5 linked regions of the Mus musculus genome follow. The protein of the gene in region 3 interacts with the protein of the main gene of each other region in a biochemical or structural test. Links are inferred from orthologs where the notes say so. Each region holds a gene or a part of one and is shown on either strand. Other genes may lie near its edges.

The links.
Region 1: the proteins of Lef1 (region 3) and Smad3 form a complex in vitro, tested with the Homo sapiens proteins (2 studies listed by BioGRID, with this or other methods). The link is inferred for Mus musculus from reciprocal best matches to the Homo sapiens genes LEF1 and SMAD3.
Region 2: the proteins of Lef1 (region 3) and Mitf form a complex in vitro, tested with the Homo sapiens proteins (2 studies listed by BioGRID). The link is inferred for Mus musculus from reciprocal best matches to the Homo sapiens genes LEF1 and MITF.
Region 4: of the proteins of Lef1 (region 3) and Nlk, one has a biochemical effect on the other in vitro, tested with the Homo sapiens proteins (4 studies listed by BioGRID). The link is inferred for Mus musculus from reciprocal best matches to the Homo sapiens genes LEF1 and NLK.
Region 5: the proteins of Lef1 (region 3) and Tle1 form a complex in vitro, tested with the Homo sapiens proteins (2 studies listed by BioGRID and IntAct, with this or other methods). The link is inferred for Mus musculus from reciprocal best matches to the Homo sapiens genes LEF1 and TLE1.

What each region holds. Positions count from the first base shown.
Region 1 is NC_000075.6:63,667,495-63,670,994, forward strand, and holds part of Smad3 (mothers against decapentaplegic homolog 3), read right to left. Parts: intron 429-3,500; coding exon 235-428; intron 113-234; coding exon 1-112. UniProt on the Homo sapiens protein: Receptor-regulated SMAD (R-SMAD) that is an intracellular signal transducer and transcriptional modulator activated by TGF-beta (transforming growth factor) and activin type 1 receptor kinases.
Region 2 is NC_000072.6:97,992,058-97,995,557, forward strand, and holds part of Mitf (microphthalmia-associated transcription factor), read left to right. Parts: intron 1-1,069; coding exon 1,070-1,297; intron 1,298-2,323; coding exon 2,324-2,407; intron 2,408-3,500. UniProt on the Homo sapiens protein: Transcription factor that acts as a master regulator of melanocyte survival and differentiation as well as melanosome biogenesis.
Region 3 is NC_000069.6:131,108,745-131,113,202, forward strand, and holds the start of Lef1 (lymphoid enhancer-binding factor 1), read left to right. Parts: upstream 1-1,552; 5' UTR 1,553-2,727; coding exon 2,728-2,934; intron 2,935-3,482; exon of another isoform or gene 3,483-4,067; coding exon of another isoform or gene 4,068-4,076; intron 4,077-4,458. UniProt on the Homo sapiens protein: Transcription factor that binds DNA in a sequence-specific manner. Participates in the Wnt signaling pathway. Activates transcription of target genes in the presence of CTNNB1 and EP300.
Region 4 is NC_000077.6:78,582,426-78,585,925, forward strand, and holds part of Nlk (serine/threonine-protein kinase NLK), read right to left. Parts: intron 3,184-3,500; exon of another isoform or gene 2,718-3,183; intron 1,000-2,717; coding exon 898-999; intron 1-897. UniProt on the Homo sapiens protein: Serine/threonine-protein kinase that regulates a number of transcription factors with key roles in cell fate determination. Positive effector of the non-canonical Wnt signaling pathway, acting downstream of WNT5A, MAP3K7/TAK1 and HIPK2.
Region 5 is NC_000070.6:72,138,394-72,141,893, forward strand, and holds part of Tle1 (transducin-like enhancer protein 1), read right to left. Parts: intron 3,488-3,500; coding exon 3,434-3,487; intron 2,921-3,433; coding exon 2,768-2,920; intron 1,441-2,767; coding exon 1,296-1,440; intron 671-1,295; coding exon of another isoform or gene 569-670; intron 296-568; coding exon 99-295; intron 1-98. UniProt on the Homo sapiens protein: Transcriptional corepressor that binds to a number of transcription factors. Inhibits NF-kappa-B-regulated gene expression. Inhibits the transcriptional activation mediated by FOXA2, and by CTNNB1 and TCF family members in Wnt signaling.

The DNA of each region.
Region 1 (3,500 bases), on a different chromosome or scaffold from region 3:
TCAATGCCAGCAGGGAAGTTAGTGTTCTCGGGAATGGAATGGCTGTAGTCATCCAGTGGGGGGAACTCGGCCGGGATCTCGGTGTGGCGTGGCACCAACACTGGAGGTAGAACTGTCCCCAAGAGAGACACAACAGAGGTGGATCAGTGCCAGCGCACTGAGGTCCCAGCCCCAAGGGCTTCTGAGACCCTCCTGAGTAGGTAGGAGGGGGAGGGCAGGGACACACTCACACACCTGGCGTCTCTACTCTCTGATAGTGGTAAGGATTTACACACACTTCATCCTTCTTCATGTTGAAGGCAAACTCACAGAGCTCCATGGCCCGTAATTCATGGTGGCTGTGCAGGTCGGGCCATCGCCACAGGCGGCAGTAGATAACGTGAGGGAGCCCCTTCCGATGGGACACCTGCAGCCGACCATCCAGTGACCTGCCATGGCAAAGAAGGAACAGAAAGTGTCAGTTAAGTAGATTTGGACTGCCGTCTCCTAAGTCCAGCTCCCAGCAGCTCCTGGGGAGTTCAAGGCTGCTGGCAGGCCCATTTGCGTTCATTTCTCCCCTAGACACAGGGGACCAGGAGGTCTGAGCACCACTGTTAACTGTTCTTGCTGAACAGGGTCCCAGCTCCCAAAAGAAACAAGGAGGCCCACTAAGGAAGGCTGAGGTCCCCTAGGCTGGAAGAGAGGCTCTTGTACCCAATAGGCTCCAGGGTTCTCAGAGTAGCAGCTCTCAAGGAAGGGGACCTTCTTGAACTAAGCCTAAGTAGATATACATGCCACCAGTCTGGCCCCGTAGAGGAGACTGCTGAACAGGGTGGAAGCCAAGTATAAGACTACAAAAGGAAGCTGAATGGCCTGGAGAGCTGACCTGGCAGGGAGTCCTACTTTTCTCTGAAAGCAAAAAATGGCCTCTTAGATGTTGAATGGACTGTGTACGTGTACACATGTGAGCACAACAGGCCCTACAATAAGTCTGGCTGTGTGGGGTCCACAGGTTGGGAGGCGGTGGGGTGGCGAGTATAGATTAGGAGAAGCAAGACTGTCCTTTCTACAAGAAAGCTGTTCTAGGAGCCCAGGGTTGAGGGCATGATGTTTTTTAGTAGCTGGGCCAGACTAGCAGAGGGCCACTGAAAGCTGTCCCTCTGTCCCTATGGCACGTATGGGTCTGAATTCAACAGATTTTATGAGTACTTTATAATAGAGGGGCTGGCCAGATGTGTCAACCAGAGCCAACCAGGGTCCAAATAATCTCCAAGCTACTGGCTTGGAATAGGGAGGGACAAAGGTCAGTGCTAGGCCTGGTCACAGGGACTGAGAGCTGCTGACTAAGGACTTGTGGAAGGATGTAATTACCTCCCTCCCATGAGGCCCAGACCAAGGAGCCCCTACAGCTGAAAACAGTAATTACAGAGCTGAACAAGAGAGGACAGCCTGAAACTAGCCCTTGAGGCACAGGAGGAAGGCAGCCAGATGTGAAATCCTAAGACCTGAAGATGCTCCTGACTATGCAAGCCTGGGCACTAGGACCCTCAACTGCCCCATGTGTAAGATGGGGACAGTCTCCCCTCACCTGATCTCTACTAGAAAGCACTTTGCAGAGCACCACCTGGGGAGAAATCCTCTCAGTGTTACCGGTGACTGCTGTTATTCTCTAAGCCAGCCCTAGGCAAGCGGGGGCTGAGTTGGGGTCAAAGAAGAGGCAACAAGAGAGTGGTTCGTAGTAGATGGAGACAAAATCCTTCAGCTCCCCTCACTTTCTTTACCGAAGTCCCCAAAGATAAGGGAGGTGGCCACACTGTCCCTCCAGGGTATGACATAAGCCTCAACACAAGGTTAGCTGGATGCTGTGGCCACCTCTCTGATGGGAAAGAGGGGGACAGGAGAGAAATGGCCAGAGAAGGGCCATGCCAGCCATGAGGAAGAGTGGAGCTGGAGAGTCCCTCCTGGGCACTGGGAGGGGTATCCTCTTGCTTTCAAAGTAACAACGGGTGCTAGGGAGACGATCCACTTAGCAAAGTACCTGCGTTGCGAGTGTAAGAACACAAGGAGTTCTGTCTCCAGAACCCATGTGAGAAGAGCTGGCTTGGGTAGTGCACAGAGGAGGCGGGACAGCCAGATCCCTGCCTAGCCTATATGGTGAGACCAAGGTCAATGAGACCCTGTCCCAAAGAATAAAAACAAAGTGGATGGCACCTGAGGAACAGCAGCCAAAGCTACCTTCTGGCAGCCACAGACATTCGAACATGTGCCTAGGTCCCTGCACACATCAGCATACCTGCACACACACAAACCCACACAAGTACACATATACATGCACAAAGACAAACAGTAGATGGAAAAAAAAAAAAGCAAGAGTGCTTCCATCATCAAAGTAGTGTGCCGACATCCTCAAAACTGACCATGACACCAATAAGACCCAACAAAGACCGTCACATATACATGGGACATTGACTTGTATCGAAAGTCCAAAGACACACCAGCAGGGACGGGTTAATCCTTTAGCAGGTGGTGCTGAGCCTCCTGAAGATCCACACTAAGAAAAATGAACTTCAACCTGCACCTTACACCTCTGTAGAAACTAAGGGTCAAAGAATAAATCTCAAACCATTGAGGAACTCTGTGACCAGACAGTGATTTCTCAGCTGCTCCACCAAAAACACTGTCCGTAAAAGTCAAAGTTGACATATCGATACAATGGGACTCAGGAGAGAGGCTTCTGATCGGTATAAAACTTGGACAAAAAGAGAGGTAACAAGTCAGAGGAGAACACCGGCAAAGAATATATCTCACAGAGGTCCTTTCTAGGATAAAGAATGCCAAAAGCAACCCAACATTCAAATAGCAGGTGATTCCCTTAATCAAATGCTAGTTTAAAAAGTTAAAGATGGCAAAGATGTTCTATGTCATTACTAAGAAGGAAAGCGTGGATTAAATCGAAGGGACAGGAGAGATGTCTCCACAGTTAAAAGCACGTGCTGTTCTTGCAGAGGAGCAAAGTTGGTTCCCAGCACCCACACAGAGGTTCACAAGCATCCGTAACTCTAGTCCCAGAGTCTCTGGTGCCTTTTTCTGACCTCCTCAGGCACTGGGCACACACATGGTACACAGACATAAATAAATGCAGGCAAAATACCCATATACATAAAGCAAAACGTAACTATATACAATGAGATGCCACCATATGACCATCAGAACAGCTGTAATTTAAAAGGACCGTGTGTGCCACGTGCTGGCAATGGTGTGGAGCAACCAGAACTCTTAAACATCACGCATGGAAAACAGTGATACAATGGCTCTGAGAGACAACTAGGGAGTTTCCTTAAAAGTCCAAAGCAAAAGCTTGCTGTAATAGTTTCTTTTTCAGTTGCTGTGATTAAATACTCTGACCAAAACTGTGATGGTCAGTCTCAACTGTCGATCTGATGAACCTAGAAGAACCTGGGAGATGGGTCTCTGTGATGTCTGCGGAGGATTATCCCAATCAGGTTCACTGAGATAAGGAG
Region 2 (3,500 bases), on a different chromosome or scaffold from region 3:
ATAAGGACAGATCTGCTCCTTTAATGCTATTTATTTTCTGATGCCCTAAGAAGTAATTTACTATAGCTTTAGACATAGTAAATAGCAGGAAGATTTCTTTCCCCAGTAGGTAACTGCTTTCTCCCGAGCAGCTCTTGTTTAGAGTGGATAAGATAAAATTGTGTTTGTCAGTGAAAAGTAACTTTAAATCAAATGTCATTGATTTTGCTTATTTTTTTTTAAAAAAGCATTTCTAATTCCCTGTTAGTGTTGATGGAAAACGACAGCAAATACTGTGCTGGTTTGTCAATAAGTAAGCCTTTAAAAACTCTTACATACAAGTGATATAGACTTGAATGTAACTGCTTTGTGTAGAATTGCTTTCTCCATAGAGCTCATTCATAATTAAAATCCTGAATAATATTTTTATATATGAAAGGAAGTAACCAGTAATTCCTTGATTTAAACATGGCAATATTTCTGATTATTTCTATGATAATTTTAGTCAGTACTTAAGGATTTTGTGTGTGTTTGTATATAGATTTGTCTCTGTGTGTGTGTGTGTTTCTGTGAGTGTGATTCTGAGTGTGTGTGTGGGTGGGGAGTGTGTGCATGATTGTGTGTTTTTGTACATGCACATACATTTTAACAGAAAGCTATTCTATTTGCCAAGGAAAACAAGATAAAACAGAGTTGTGCGTTTTCAAGTTTGTTGTTTTGATTTTTGTGTTGGGGAGATTTTCGCCTCATAGATACTTGCAAATTTAATAATTAGCCATAAGAAGAAGGGCACTAGGATAGAATTAAATGTATACTTAATTATCAGGGACGTTAAACAGGATAGTTAGTACCCTGGATTCTAAGAGCTCTAAATCCTGCAATTTAGATTCTCAGCTTCAGTACTATCAATTATTTTACTATTATTATTATTATTATTATTATTATTAGCACAATGGCCAGTACCTTACAGGGGATTGATAATCTGTTCTGTTGGTCAACTGGTCAGTCTCACAATCTATGCTACAGGAAAAGCTACCTGAAAGCCCCGAATAACACTGCTATCTTCTCTTCCCTCCACGGCCATGCTCAGGTGCAGACCCACCTGGAAAACCCCACCAAGTACCACATACAGCAAGCTCAGAGGCACCAGGTAAAGCAGTACCTTTCTACCACTTTAGCAAATAAACATGCCAGCCAAGTCCTGAGCTCACCATGTCCAAACCAGCCTGGCGACCATGCCATGCCACCAGTGCCGGGGAGCAGCGCACCCAACAGCCCTATGGCTATGCTCACTCTTAACTCCAACTGTGAAAAAGAGGTAATTCACGTCTCCTCTTCTCCTCTGTTTCTTACATTCCATTAACTGTCTGTGGGATACTCCTCTCGCCCTTAGCAATGGACTGTCTTTTGTCCACCTGGTCATTGTCACCAACCTCTGTCCTAGATCTACTGGTGTGACCGTTTATATTTCAGCCTTCGGTCACGAAGACTAGGTTACTGGGTTTATTGCACACGACAGGAGACCTGACTTGCTCTAAGCAGAACGTGGAGGCGAGGATGCTTCCGTAACTCCCATCACCGTCCTTAGATGAGTGTTTTCTTCCCTTCTATGCCTTCCAATTTGTGAAGCAGCGAACATACAGACAGGAGAAGGGGAAAGTGGAAAGGGAAAGCAAAAATAGAAAAGGCGTGCGGCGGCAGGAGGCTTAGGAGCTCTGCTTGCTGTGAATGTCTGGGATATTATTTTTATGTTTCATGGAGTTGGAGAAAGAAAAAACATGGAGCAGGTATGGGTGGATTTGAATGGTATGGCATATGAGGCTTTTAAAGAAAGATCAAGGCTTATTACAGCATCCAGTCGGTCTCAAAATGAATGGCTGCCTGGTGACACTGGTCTGGGCAGAGGGACAAAGACTTAGTCCCTCTGGTGACTGAAATAACCCAAAAGTTGTGTGACAGTCACTTGTGAACTCACATTAACACTTCCATACTTAGTAGGACCTTACTAAAACGAGACTCGAGTTCTCATAATTTGGGAATATCAGACACTGAATCACAGCAGCACCCCTGTCCAATTTATGCTCCAAATTTTGATACAAAAACTAGCGTGAGGGTTGGAGTCTTGTCTCTAATCTGGCCTCTACCAAAGCACATACTTCTTATCCACCCATATCTGCCATATGCTTCACCCATGTCTCCCACCATTATTGTGCTCCTTGGTTAGCATCTGCTTGTTTGAGAGTTCCATCCATCACATTGCTATGGCACTAACATCCTGTGAATGTGTTGCTGAAAGGCGTTTGCAAATCCGAGTCATGGACTGTCTCTGCTTCTGTTTCTGCAGGCATTTTATAAGTTTGAGGAGCAGAGCAGGGCAGAGAGTGAGTGCCCAGGTATGAACACGCACTCTCGAGCGTCGTGCATGCAGGTACTGAATGGCCGGGCAGGCCAAGGATGTAACACTTGATAATGAGTGAGAATCTATATTTGTGAATGATCGCAGCTCCTGATGACTTCAGGACCTCCTTTCCTCCCATTGATACTTTTTTGATAGAAGGATCTATGAACAGACCTATTTTCTTCATAGTAACTCATGAATGACTAGGTAACAACTAAGAAGATTAAATATGTGTACCCTTTAAGTTTCCCACAGTCATACGGAGAGGGAAATATCCATAGATTGTCGTAAAAAATGCAGGATGATTTAGTTAATGTGCATAAATCTCCAGCACCTTTTGTATAGCATTGTACCAGCCTTCTAAGATATATTTTTGAAACCAAGCTGTGCCAATCTCTGCATTGTTTTCTAAATGGAACCTCCTGTTCTCTGTATTATGAAGCTTCAGTAAGCTAATAATAGCTCACAAGCACTTCCCCAAGGATCTGAAGATCATTATTTAAATTCTATTTAGCGAATAAATGGAAGCATTTATTTATGTATTTATGTGCTTATTCAGATGTATGGGATAGAATATAATACAAACAACAAAATGGTTTCTTTGCCTTTATATATATGCTAAAGTATATACTATTTTAATGATACATTAAGGACACTAATTTTGTTCCCCTAAAACTAAAGTCAAAATTTATAAAGAAAAGTGGTTTATATGTCTCCAGCCTATTTTCTTATTCATCAACCCAGTCAAAAAGCCATGTATTGCAAATAAATAAGCTGATATGCCAGGAACGAAAACTAACATGAAGTATACTAGCTCTATTCAAACCTGACCACCAGTTATTTTTTAGAGAAATCACTTGCTATGACTCATTCTTTAGATCAGACGTTATAGTATATTCCAATTTTCTGAGCATTTTGGAAGGTTTCTCCTGAAATCTCATCTGTCCCCAGTGAGACAATATATGCTATTGTCCCCATTGCGTAGATTGGCATACTGAGATTTCTGAAGACTGGAGGCGTTGCCCTTGATCCAGGAAGAGGGTGAAACTAGATTTGAACCCAATGCGCATAATGCTGGAGTCTCACCTCTTTAATGGGAGGTACACATGAACACAGGGGTGCC
Region 3 (4,458 bases):
CTAAATCTATCAGATTACATATGACCAACCACGTCCTATGCAGCAAACCAAACTATACATATATTTCAAACATATATATATATATATATATATATATATATATATATATATATCCACCTCCTAGCCAGCTCCCAAACTGGTAGTTATCAGTAAGCAAAGTTTTAAATGCTGACTTAAAGAACTGTTAAAGTCTACAATGCCCAATAGCCCACACTTTCACCTTTAAAAGAGAGCTCTTGTCCTAAGCGTTCTTATGTAATGAAACCAACACACGATTCGTTGGAGTCTTATTTTCCATTTAAGTAAGATGGAGATACAATTCTTCCTGTTTACTGCTCCCAGGTTCTACAGATGGCTGCCTCACTGGTCTAATGATTTTGCCTGAATATTTGACTTGAGGGGAGGGGTTGAGAGCTAAAAGACAATGTGTTTCCAAACTTAAGCCCCACTTACACAGTGACTTTCACAAAGCGTCGCCCTTAAAAGTCCTGTCCAAAATGCACCAAGGAGACAGTGGGAACCGGAGAATTTTTGAGGTTTGATTCGTATTTACATCCATCCTTTAAAGGTCCCTTTCAGCGGAGTCTCCAGGATGTCAGCAACTGCCCAGTGCTGCCTGCCTCTCCTAGGTTGTTCTTCTCCCTCCTTTTGGGATGTATTTTCCTTTTTCTACGAGGTCTCTACACGCTGAGTCGAGAATCTCCAAAAACCCACGTTCATTCGGTGATAAAGGCACAATGAATGTGATAGCGTAGAAGCGATATTTAAGGCTCAGTCTTCATCCACACCCTTCTTACTGATCCTTCCCCCCTGGTAAGCCTGGAGATTTTATTTTCGCTAGGGTGGTGTGCCCTTGTCTCCGAAGTGTGTGTGATTCACGGTTAGTAGAGTCACAACTCTTCTGTTTGCCTTTGCTGAATCTCTTCTCTCTGGTTAGGTGAGCAATGTGTTACATTTTCTCCTTTTCCTTCCCCTAGTCCCTAATTCTCGCCTTATTCCCTCTGTCAGAGCATCTATCAATGTGGTGTCGACCACAGCGCCAGCGGCTTTCTCTTTCATCTTCCTCCCCTTGCCTGAGTGAGGGGGCTAGAGTGGGCGGCGGGAAGGAGGTTGAAGAAAGACTGGCAAAGGACTAGAAGTGAGGCGCCGGGGGCGGGGTGGGGTGGGGTCGGCAAGAGAAGAAGAGATGCTCAGATGATGAAGTTAAGCCATTCCCGTAGTTTCTCGTCAATTTTCACGTGGGCCACACTGTTCTTTGGGGTTGGGTTACACACAGCACCCAGTCTATCTTCAGGTTGTATGGTGTCGTCCCCCCCCCCCCAGGCATGAACAGGCGGGCGCAAACACATACGCACCCCCACGGCGCCCCCCCCCCCCAAGTATGACTCGTCCTTTGGGTGCTAGGAAATGAACTAGGGCTGGGGGGGGGGGGAGAGAACCTGGATCTCCTCCTCCTCCTAACAGACTCCCTCCTCCCCACCCCTCCAGCAGGCAGCCAAGGAGAGCAGGAGGCGGGGGAGGGGCGGGGGAGGAGAAGCGACGCAAGTGAATAGCTTTGCAGCGCCGGCTAGGCGCGGCGAGGAGAAGCGGTGGGAAGGCGCAACCGCTCACCTGCGGGGCAGCGCGCACCGGAGGGACCGGGCTGCGCTTTCGTGGGCCCTGGCATTCGGACATTCCCGGAGCCTTGCAAGCGGCTACGCTCCGGGTGTTCCCCGGCCGGTCTGCCCGGAGGAGCCGAGGGGCCACCGGCAGCTCTTTGCTTTGACCGAGGGGAGGCGGGGAGAGAGGCGAGCCAGGCAGAAACTCGAGCCGGGAACAAAGAGGGATCGGGCTCGAGTGTGTGTGTGTGTGTGTGTGTGTGTGTGTGTGTGTAAGTGTGTGTATCGGCCCGAGCTGCGGGCTGGAACATTTGGGCCCGAAGCTCCTGCTGTGACTCCCCAAGACTCCGCCGTGCCAGCCACCGCCGATTCCCAGCGCTCATCATCACAAACTTTATTCTTGGCAAACTTCTCTTTTTCTCCCCTCCTCCTCCGCCCCTCCCCCTCCAGCAGATTAAATGCTCCTCCAGAAGGAAAACCGAAGCGAAAGGGAAGGAAAGAAGCTCTAACGCGGACGTCTGCAGCCCGGTGGCTCTTTATTGTTTACTCTGAAGGAAGTGGACTTTTCGGTATTTTCTGATTCTTCTCGTACCTCCGCTGGGGCAAAGGGAGCCTCTTGGCCCAGCTCTCCTCTTCTCAAAAACAAAACAAAACAAAACCCCAAATCACCGAAATCAGCATCCGAGGAATCCGTGGAGAGGTTTTGCACGGTGACGCACCACGGGACCCTCGTTTGCACTTTGGCAAGTCGTGTCCCCTCCGGAACCGGTGTCCTCGAAGCACAGACCCCAGCAACGAGTGCGGCGTGGGGTGGCCACCCAGCCCTGGCAGCCTAGCCTAGTGCACGCGGAGCGGCGTAGACGCTCTCAGAGGCGCCGGCGGCTGCCGCCCTCGCAGTCTGGTGCCCTTCGCCCCAGGGCCGGGCGCCGGCGTCCTTCTAAGTGGGAAAGCGCGGCAATCGCAGAGGCTCCTGCAGCTGCTCCAGCCGTGGGCCCCTCGCTTGCCCACCCGGCTTCCATTCACAGTCCTCCCGCACTCAGTCTTCCAACTCCCCCACCTCACATCGACCCTCCCTTCTTGCTGTCTCGGAGTGCTCCCGCAGCGGAGCGGAGATTACACAGCCGCCGGGATGCCCCAACTTTCCGGAGGAGGCGGCGGGGGGGACCCGGAACTCTGCGCCACCGATGAGATGATCCCCTTCAAGGACGAAGGCGATCCCCAGAAGGAGAAGATCTTCGCCGAGATCAGTCATCCCGAAGAGGAGGGCGACTTAGCCGACATCAAGTCATCTTTGGTTAACGAGTCCGAAATCATCCCAGCCAGCAACGGGCATGAGGTGAGTGGGCAGCTGTCCGGAGAGGCGTGGCGGGTCCCGGGGAAGCGGAGGGGAAGCAAGCAGGGTGCGCGACCACGGTGGCCATTGAGCCCTGGTCCCTCGCGGGCTGGGTGGGGAATAACGGCCCCTAGTCCATGGTGCGCACGTGTGTGAGCAGCGGGCAGGGAAATTTATCCCAAGTGTTTCTATGGCTAAACGGTGGCAAATGGGCAGGAAACGCTGGCCTATACCGGACCGGTTTCGTCCTCCGACGTTTCGGTGGCTCTGAGGGACGCGGTGCATTAAAACAGGGATGTCTAAACACAACTGTGAAGTCTATCATGGGGTGGAAAACAAAGTGCATCCGCTAGCTCTCTCGGTACAGTGCACAGAAGTGCGTTAAACCACCGAGGGCTCCAAGGAGCGAAGCCCCAGGCGGGAGGAAGGAGAGGCGGGCGTGGGCCTCGCAGAAGGGGCCGTCCCAACCGCCGTGGAGCCGGGGCGCGCGCCCTAACTGCGGGGGCGTTGCGGGGCCGGGTCCCCACAGCAGGAGAGGCTGCTGCCGGGAGCCGTGGGCGAGCCGATCCGAGCCAGCCAACGGCACCGATACCGCAGTCCTTCCGCCCGCAACCCCGGCGTTTAAAGTGGAAAGAAAAGCGTTTATTTGGGGTTAGGCTGGGTTGGGATCAGGCCCTGGATCTCTGCAGAAGAAAGGCGAGCCCTCGGCGGAAGCCGGGCGGCGGCTAGGGAGGAGGGACGCGCTTTATCAGATCTCCGGGCCAGCTGAAGGCGACGGCGCTGGTAACCCGAGTAGAGTAAATAGAGACACGTGGGTGCCGGCGCGAGGGAGCGGGGAGCCCGGCCGCGCGCGAGCATCGGATGGGCGTAGATCCCCACAGCCCACACCTTAGCGGCCACTCTGTCTCAGCAGCTGAGGAAACCTCACGGGGGCATCCAGTAGAAAAGTTCTGATACCCAAATGATGTGCCCAACGTTTTTTCCTTCCAGAGAAACTTGGAGAGTATAGCCTTTTCCTTAAATGGCAACTTTCTGCCCCCACCCCCAACCCAAAGAAAGGGTGGTTTCGGGGGCGGGGACATTTTGGGTTTAAAGAGTGCTTTTAAGAACACCTCAGAGTTACCTTCTCTGTCCCGATGGCAGGGGTGAGTACGCATCTGGGAAGGCTGGGGGGCTGATTCCAAAATATAAGGACCCTCTCTAGTCCCAAAGTCCTACCCCCCCCCAAAAAAAAATAGAGGAAGGGGGCGAGAATGCATTAAAAGTCAGGTAAAAAGGGTCTCCGGACGAGGGATTGAAATACCATCTAAACTCTGGTGGTTTTTTATTTTTGTTTGTTTCATTCTTGACCAGACTGTAGAGTAGCCTCTTTCTTTCTACTGGAGTAGTTTACACATTTCAATCCACCTCACATTTCTACGGTTTTGTAGTCTGAGGAGAAAAGCCATGCTTAGGAGACTGTCAACTACCGGGGTTGGGTGTTTGAACTGTTCATCTTTCCGCGGTGGAAGTGGGGCGAGCAGAGAG
Region 4 (3,500 bases), on a different chromosome or scaffold from region 3:
ACTGAAGGATATACCCACAAGGAGGCTCTTTAAATATAAGCTTAACCAGGTGGGCTGCTGTGAATTTGATCCAACTTGCTCTACACAGTGAGTTAAAGATAACCAGAGCCCTGTCTCAAAAATAAGCAAACAAATATGAATAAAAACCCACAAGCATCTGTCTCTCCTCCCTGGCCTGAGCCAGTGTCTGAGAACCTTCCTTCCTGCCTCCTGTGTAGCCTTGGCTGAGGAGGCCGGCCTTGCTAGTCCTGCTCAAGCCTTCCTGGTTCTGCTTGTTTCTTGTGTCTAGGAAAAGCATTCTCCTCCCTCACTCACTCTTCACATCATTAACTTTCCTCTAAAGGGGGTTAGGATAGTGCTTGCAGGGAACACTGCTTAATCAAGAGAGCAGATAAAAAGCACCCCAGCTTTCTCAGCAGTGATCTGGCAGGTTGCAAGTCATATTGATTAGTAAGAATCGGGCAGCCCTTCTTTATACTGCTGACCACAATGGGGTCTAATGTGACGCTAGTGCTAAGAGTAACAGCAACTGCTTTGCATCCTTGCAAGGCAAAGAGACACCGACCGTTATTTGGGCTTAGTGTTTGGAGCTGGTATCTTGACTCACATGCACTTAAGTCAGAGCTTCCTCCCACATACTGGTAACACCAAGAGGTCACCTGTCACTGATAAGCAATGGCGCTATAAAAACACGCATTTCTCCTATAGTACTGGGCATGGCCACATGCCATTTACTATTTATGGTCATATACACATAACAGTGATCTTACTTGTAGGATATCTGTTTGTGTCTATGTGTCCATGAATATATATATATCTAAAACCTGTAAGCAACATCTCTGGGATAGAAATTCTTCCCTTGGGGCCAGCTGCCAGAGACAGACTTCCCCTCTTTACCTGTTTATGAGGACCCCTGAGTATGTGTGCCTTAGCACCTTCACAAGCTGTCCTCATTGCTTCCAGTGATGGTGTGCCCAACAGATCTGTGATCAAATCCAACTGCAAGAGAACATGAAATACAGGTTGACAGGAGATCACAGAATGGCGTTTTCATTAGACTTAAGTTGCAGCCTTAGAAATGAAAATGAATGCCACTTTTTTTTTTTTTAACCTTAGAACAACTACAACATCTTCAAGGAAGCTCTGATAAGAACTCTTTCTTTTACTTTCTGGCCTATTTTTTTTAAAAATCAGGTTAGGTGGTACATACCTGTTATTCTACCACTTAGGAGGCTAAGACGGGATTGTGAGTTTATGGCCAGTTGGGCTCCATTTCACGGAGATCATAGAGCTCTTACACTAGAGTAACTCTGGCGTTACATCTCTAGACCCCACTGCTTCAAAACCACAGCATTTATAATCTTGCAGGTAGTGTCTAAAGACTATTCTTTTCAAACAGTAAACGAATCAATTTTAATGCTTCAAATGGATCCAAGCTCTTCAAGGGGCTAATCTACACATCAGATACATGTAGTGCAATAAATACCCAAAGCATTCACTCTTGAAATAAAAGGTAAGCACTCAGTGTTTAGACCAGCACATATCTTTTACATTCTAGAAATCTCTTACACTGACAGAAAACTGTGGAACTTAGAAATCCATGATGCCACATGAGGCCACATTTATCGAGCTGGGCATGATAAGGAGACTGATAGAATGGTCTTCCTATGAACAAGTCTTTGTAGGTAGCAAACCACTTCACCAATTTTTTGGTGCTCAAACTGTTCTGACTCTATAACCTAATTAACAGCAACATTTCATTTGGATCTCCCTAGGATGGGAAATTCATGCTCAGAGGACACCACTTCCTGGCCTTATCTAACTACGGGGCAGCTCTCAGCACTGGTGTTCCAGTGATGGGAGCGCCTGAGAAACTGGCTTTCCCCTGAGGTTCAGATCTCTGGACCCTTTCTGAGGGAAGTGTGGCTAAGACACTGTCAGGGCTCTAACAACCACCCTGAAAGCAGAAGAACTTGAGTACTCAGTGGACACCTGTAGACTAACACGGGACCGATCTATGGAAGAGGAACACTTTGAGAGAGTCTGCTGCAGTTCAGTGCCAGCTCACTCATTTCTCAAAGACAGAAAATGCAAGCGAAAATAACTACATCCACATAGAAGTTAGACTATCTCCATATAAAACATGTTTCCTGTGACAATTATTACCCCACACTGATGATAAATAGATGAGTTCCTAGTGGTTATGTAAAGCTGGAAAGCTCAGACTTGTAGACTTTGTTAGAACCTGTTACAAAGATCCCCTACTTTCTCAAGTGCTGAGATACCACACTTAGCTCCACATGTTTTTTTTCTCTAAAACTTATTATCTAAAAGTTATTCTAAGAGTTATTTTTATGAGTATTTTTGTCTGCATGTATGTCTGTGCAACAAGTGCATGCAGTCAGTGTACTGCCTGAAGACCAGAAGAGAGTGTCAGAACTCCCTTGGACAGTTGTCAATTGTCACATAGCTGCAATCAGTGCTCTTAACACTAAGATGCCACCTTAAAAAAAAAAATAAAAAGTATATTTTATGGAGAAAAAAAATATATGGTTTCACTATACAGCCCTGGCTATCCTTCCTGGACATTTTTATGTAGACCAGGTTAGCTTCAAACTCATAAAGATCCACTGCCTCTGCCTCCCAAGTACAAGGACTCAAGGCATATGCCACCAATGCTCACTTTGTTTTTAAACCTAAAAATTATTATTATTTTTTCAGTCTTTCATGTGATTTTATTTTCTCCCTTCAACCATAATAATATGATATCCAAATTTTGTCTTAACTGGTGGGTCTGTAAACACAGGCTTATCCATCCCACTTACAGGCAAGGCAAACGCTGCTTCTTGAAATGGCCCCACCATGGATCCTCTGGTCATCCAACCCAAGTCACCCCTTGTCTGGCTTTATCTTCACTATATTGTGTGGCCACTTCACTGAATCTCATCCCAGACTTTAACTTTTCCATGGCTTCCATGATTTTCCCATGTTTTTCACACAGACTGTGTCTGACCTTTACTGCATTGCCACCACCTTTAGGACCCTGAGACTTCTTGTCAGCACTGTCACTCCCAGAGGCTGCACCTCCTTTCCCTCCTTTTCCAGAACTACTTTTCCCCTTCGGTGGCATCTTTTAAGCTGGCGGTTGAACTCTCCAGCAACTGTTCTGGTGCTAGCAAAAGGACCCCTCAGGCCCCACCTAAAAATTATTTTTAACTGTCTGTGTGTAGTCTGTGTGTGTGCACTTGAATGCAAGACTCCTTAAGGTCAGTGCAGTTAGATTCCTCAGAGCTTAAGTCATAGGCAACTATGAACCATCAGACATGGATGCTAGAAACCAAATTCAGGTCTTCTGGAAGAATAGCAAGTCGTATTAACACTAATAAGCTATCTCCATCGCTGCAGCTCTCCCAACCCCTTTCTCCTTCTTCCTCCTCTTCCTTCCTTTCTTTTCTTTTCTCTCTCTCTCTCTCTCTCTCTCTCTCTCTCTCTCTCTCTCT
Region 5 (3,500 bases), on a different chromosome or scaffold from region 3:
TGTATACCCAGAACCTCACTGCCTGAGTACTACACACCTTGGGCCCTGAACCCTTTGGGTTGCCTAGTCCCTGGGGCACACCCAAGCACATGACCTACCATTGGGGAGCGCCCATAGGCCACCACAGCAGCAGCAGCTGCAGCAGCTGCAGCGCTCATCTGTGGAGACATGCTGTGTAGACCTGCATAGGCAGCACCAGGGCTGGTCAGCTCTCCGTTCATGCCCGCATGGGGCACCATGCCAAAGGGGGCAGGGTATGGGCCAGGCACCGCCAGGGGCGTCCTCAGGCCAGCTGCTGCAAGGAAACATGCCATGTATGATGAGACTGACTATCATGCCAAACCTGACCAATGATTCTAGTCATTAGTTATGATGATGGGCAGGGCTTCAGGGGATAGCAATCATGATCCCCAATCTAGACACAAGGTCCATTCCTCAAGGACAGAAAGCACAACCCCCAAATTTCCTCATTGGCAAAGCAGCCGCACCAGGAAGCCAGGAGGATTAATCAACATCTTTGCACTCAATTCATAAAGGGCAAGCCAAGGTACAGAGTCTGCGTGTTTACCTGACTTAATCTCAAAAGAAGACTTTCTGGATAAAATCCAAGATTTCTCCTTGAGTCCGAACTTTCCACTCCCTGGTACCAATTCCAAATGAAAACCAAATCCTGGATTTATGCAAACCAGAGCAAGGCTTTAGGAAGGGGATTCTGGTGCCTAATTCCCCTGGACTCAGGCTGCTACTTTTTAGCTTGTCCAATGAGGAAGATCAAATTCAAAGTTATGAGTGACCTCATGGGCTAGAGTATTAGCAAAACCTCCCAACTTCCTGACTCCTGAAGATGTAGCAAAAAACAAAACAAAACAAAACAAGACAAACAAACAAAACCCAGTCATCTATAGGCGGCAAAATGTATACACTGGCTACAAAATCAGCCACTTTGGTTGGCTGGTTGGTTGGTTGGTTGGTTGACAAGGGGCTTAATATTAGCAACATCAGTCAGACATACAATGACAGACTTGTAAGATTATGTTTGGAATAATATGAGGAACTTTACTGTAACCATTGGATTTGGACTATTTTTAAATAAAAGAGAAGCTGAATGTAAACTTCTGGAGAGTAACTGGTGCAGCTGCTGGGATCCAGGACAAATGTGCTTGCTCCCATGCCTTTCCAGACAGGAGAATAGTGCCAAGTGCTTCACATTCAGGGGCAAACTGTCAGGAGATTAGCAGACAGCACATCAAGCTGGGACAGAAGAAACAAAGCACAGTAGGGGAAGGGGTGCTGACCTGCTTGGTTGACAAGGGGTTCCATGGCTGGAGGCTTGCCAAGACCTGGACGGAGGCCTGGAGTAGCGCTGGTGCCTGGGGTTGGCATGTCGCTCCGAGGCGTCGGTGTGCTGGATTTCAGAACAGGAGTGTTGGCTTTTTCATGCTGGTATCATTAAACAAATTAAATGAGTATTATTTTTAATCCAAGCCATATTACACAATTTATCACAACAGCAGCTGGGGCACTGGGCACCTTCTAGCAACACCCTAGCCAATTTTCATAAATCCACACAATGTCGACAGCATTAACTTGTGAGTGAGAAATGTTGACCTTTCATCTTCCTGCCAGATTAAAACTCGAGCCGGAGACACACAGAGCATGATCCTCCACAAATTTTATTTTACAACAAGTTTTCCATGAAGCTTGTGAACTTCGGGTCTTCGCTGGGTGAGAAAGATGACCACAGGGAGATTCTTTCCAAGTCACTGGGAAGGGCCTACCTGGCTACAATCTCCAAAGTGGAAACCTTTTCTCAGCCTCACCTTTTGGGGACTCAGACTGATGGTGACAGACAGTGGAACTACCAATTACTTTAGAAGCAAACCAGCACTTCAGAAATAAAGTTCCTGAAGTACCCTTCCCACACTGCTCTTCTCTATGGCTACCTAGCTAATGAAGACCCATCCGTGCACACAGGAGACTTATCACCTGTTGGCAACCTTTATAACTTGAGACAGTAATTCCATAAAAAGGGTATCTTCTTTTATCTCTCAACTCCTGTGTCCCTAGAACACTGCTCAAGAAGGACCAGGGTGTAGAAAACAGAGTGAGCCAAAACTCCCAGCTCTGGCTTAGGATTTGATAGAATGTTCTCAACAAGTTACTCAGGTTTTGCTTTACTCTATTTGCATAAAGCGATAACCCTGAGGTCACCAAAGTAAAGACTTGCTTTGAGGTAGTCTCACAATGTAAGACAGACTTGACCTCTATCCCAAGAGCTTCCTTCCTGCCAGATCCTCCAAAATATAGGCACTACAGGCAAGCACTACCATCCGAAGTTATAAAAGATTCAGTGGTTTAAGGACCACATGAATGGGCTATGATGAATGGGCTCTGAAGATCCCATGTCTCCTGTGTACATGCCAACGAGGATGGGATATGCACAATGGCTTAGTTTACCCCATAAACAGGAGCTTAGCAAAATCAAGATTCCTTGTGAGTTATTCACTACCACTTATTGAGTGTCACAGAGCTGAGTCATGACCATGTATAAGGAGAAAAACGATGCACACAGAAACTTCCACACCCACTCTAATTGTGCTCTGAGAGACAAATGAGATAAAGGGGAACAGTAAATAGGACAGCAAGTGTTTTAACACTTGAACACAAAAGCTTTAAGCAGCAAAATCCCCACTTCACACACTTCAGGATCCCATGTTCCACAAAGGAAATGGCAGTGTCACCCAGAAAAAAAGCAGCTCCTACCTACCAGGCTCACTTCTTTGGATTTCAGGGAAGAGGAACTTCCAGAGGAGGCTGTGGATGCCGGGCTACCTGAAGCATCTTTCTTCAGCAGACGGTTTTTGTCAATTCCGTTTTCCCGGGGTGAGTGTGTGGGGCTTGCATGTGGAGAAGAAGGGTCCTCAACACACAATAACAAGTTGACATGTTTTAGCTCAGAATGAACATACTTTTTCATACTCTCAACTAAAGGATAATACTGAAAATCTTTTAGATTTGAGGAGTGTAATGCTCACTAAATGAACAAAATGGTATTTATAAAACACCCAGAACCATATCATAAGAAAAACAATCATCTTTCTACCAATACCCAGGAACATCCTCTAGCCAGACATCAACCACAGAAATTAAAATGACTTAGGAAGCAGATTTTTCTTTCTGGGGGGCTGGGGATCAAACAGAGTTGGCGCCAATGGTAGACAAACACTCATGAACTGAGGTCCATTCCCAAACCTCATGTTTTGAAAGGGAAATTACAGCTTTAGTTAGGTTATGAGTACCCATTTTTAAGCATCCATTACATTCTTGATACATGAAGGTATAAGACTCAGCTAACGTGACTCAACTCCACTCACTTACAACTGGACTTTTCTCAACACTAGTCAAGAAAATCCTTCACGAAAAACACTGTTACCTCGTTAGACACATCCACAACTAAGTTGTCATCACTCTTGTCCCCATCACTGTCCTAGAAAAAAATT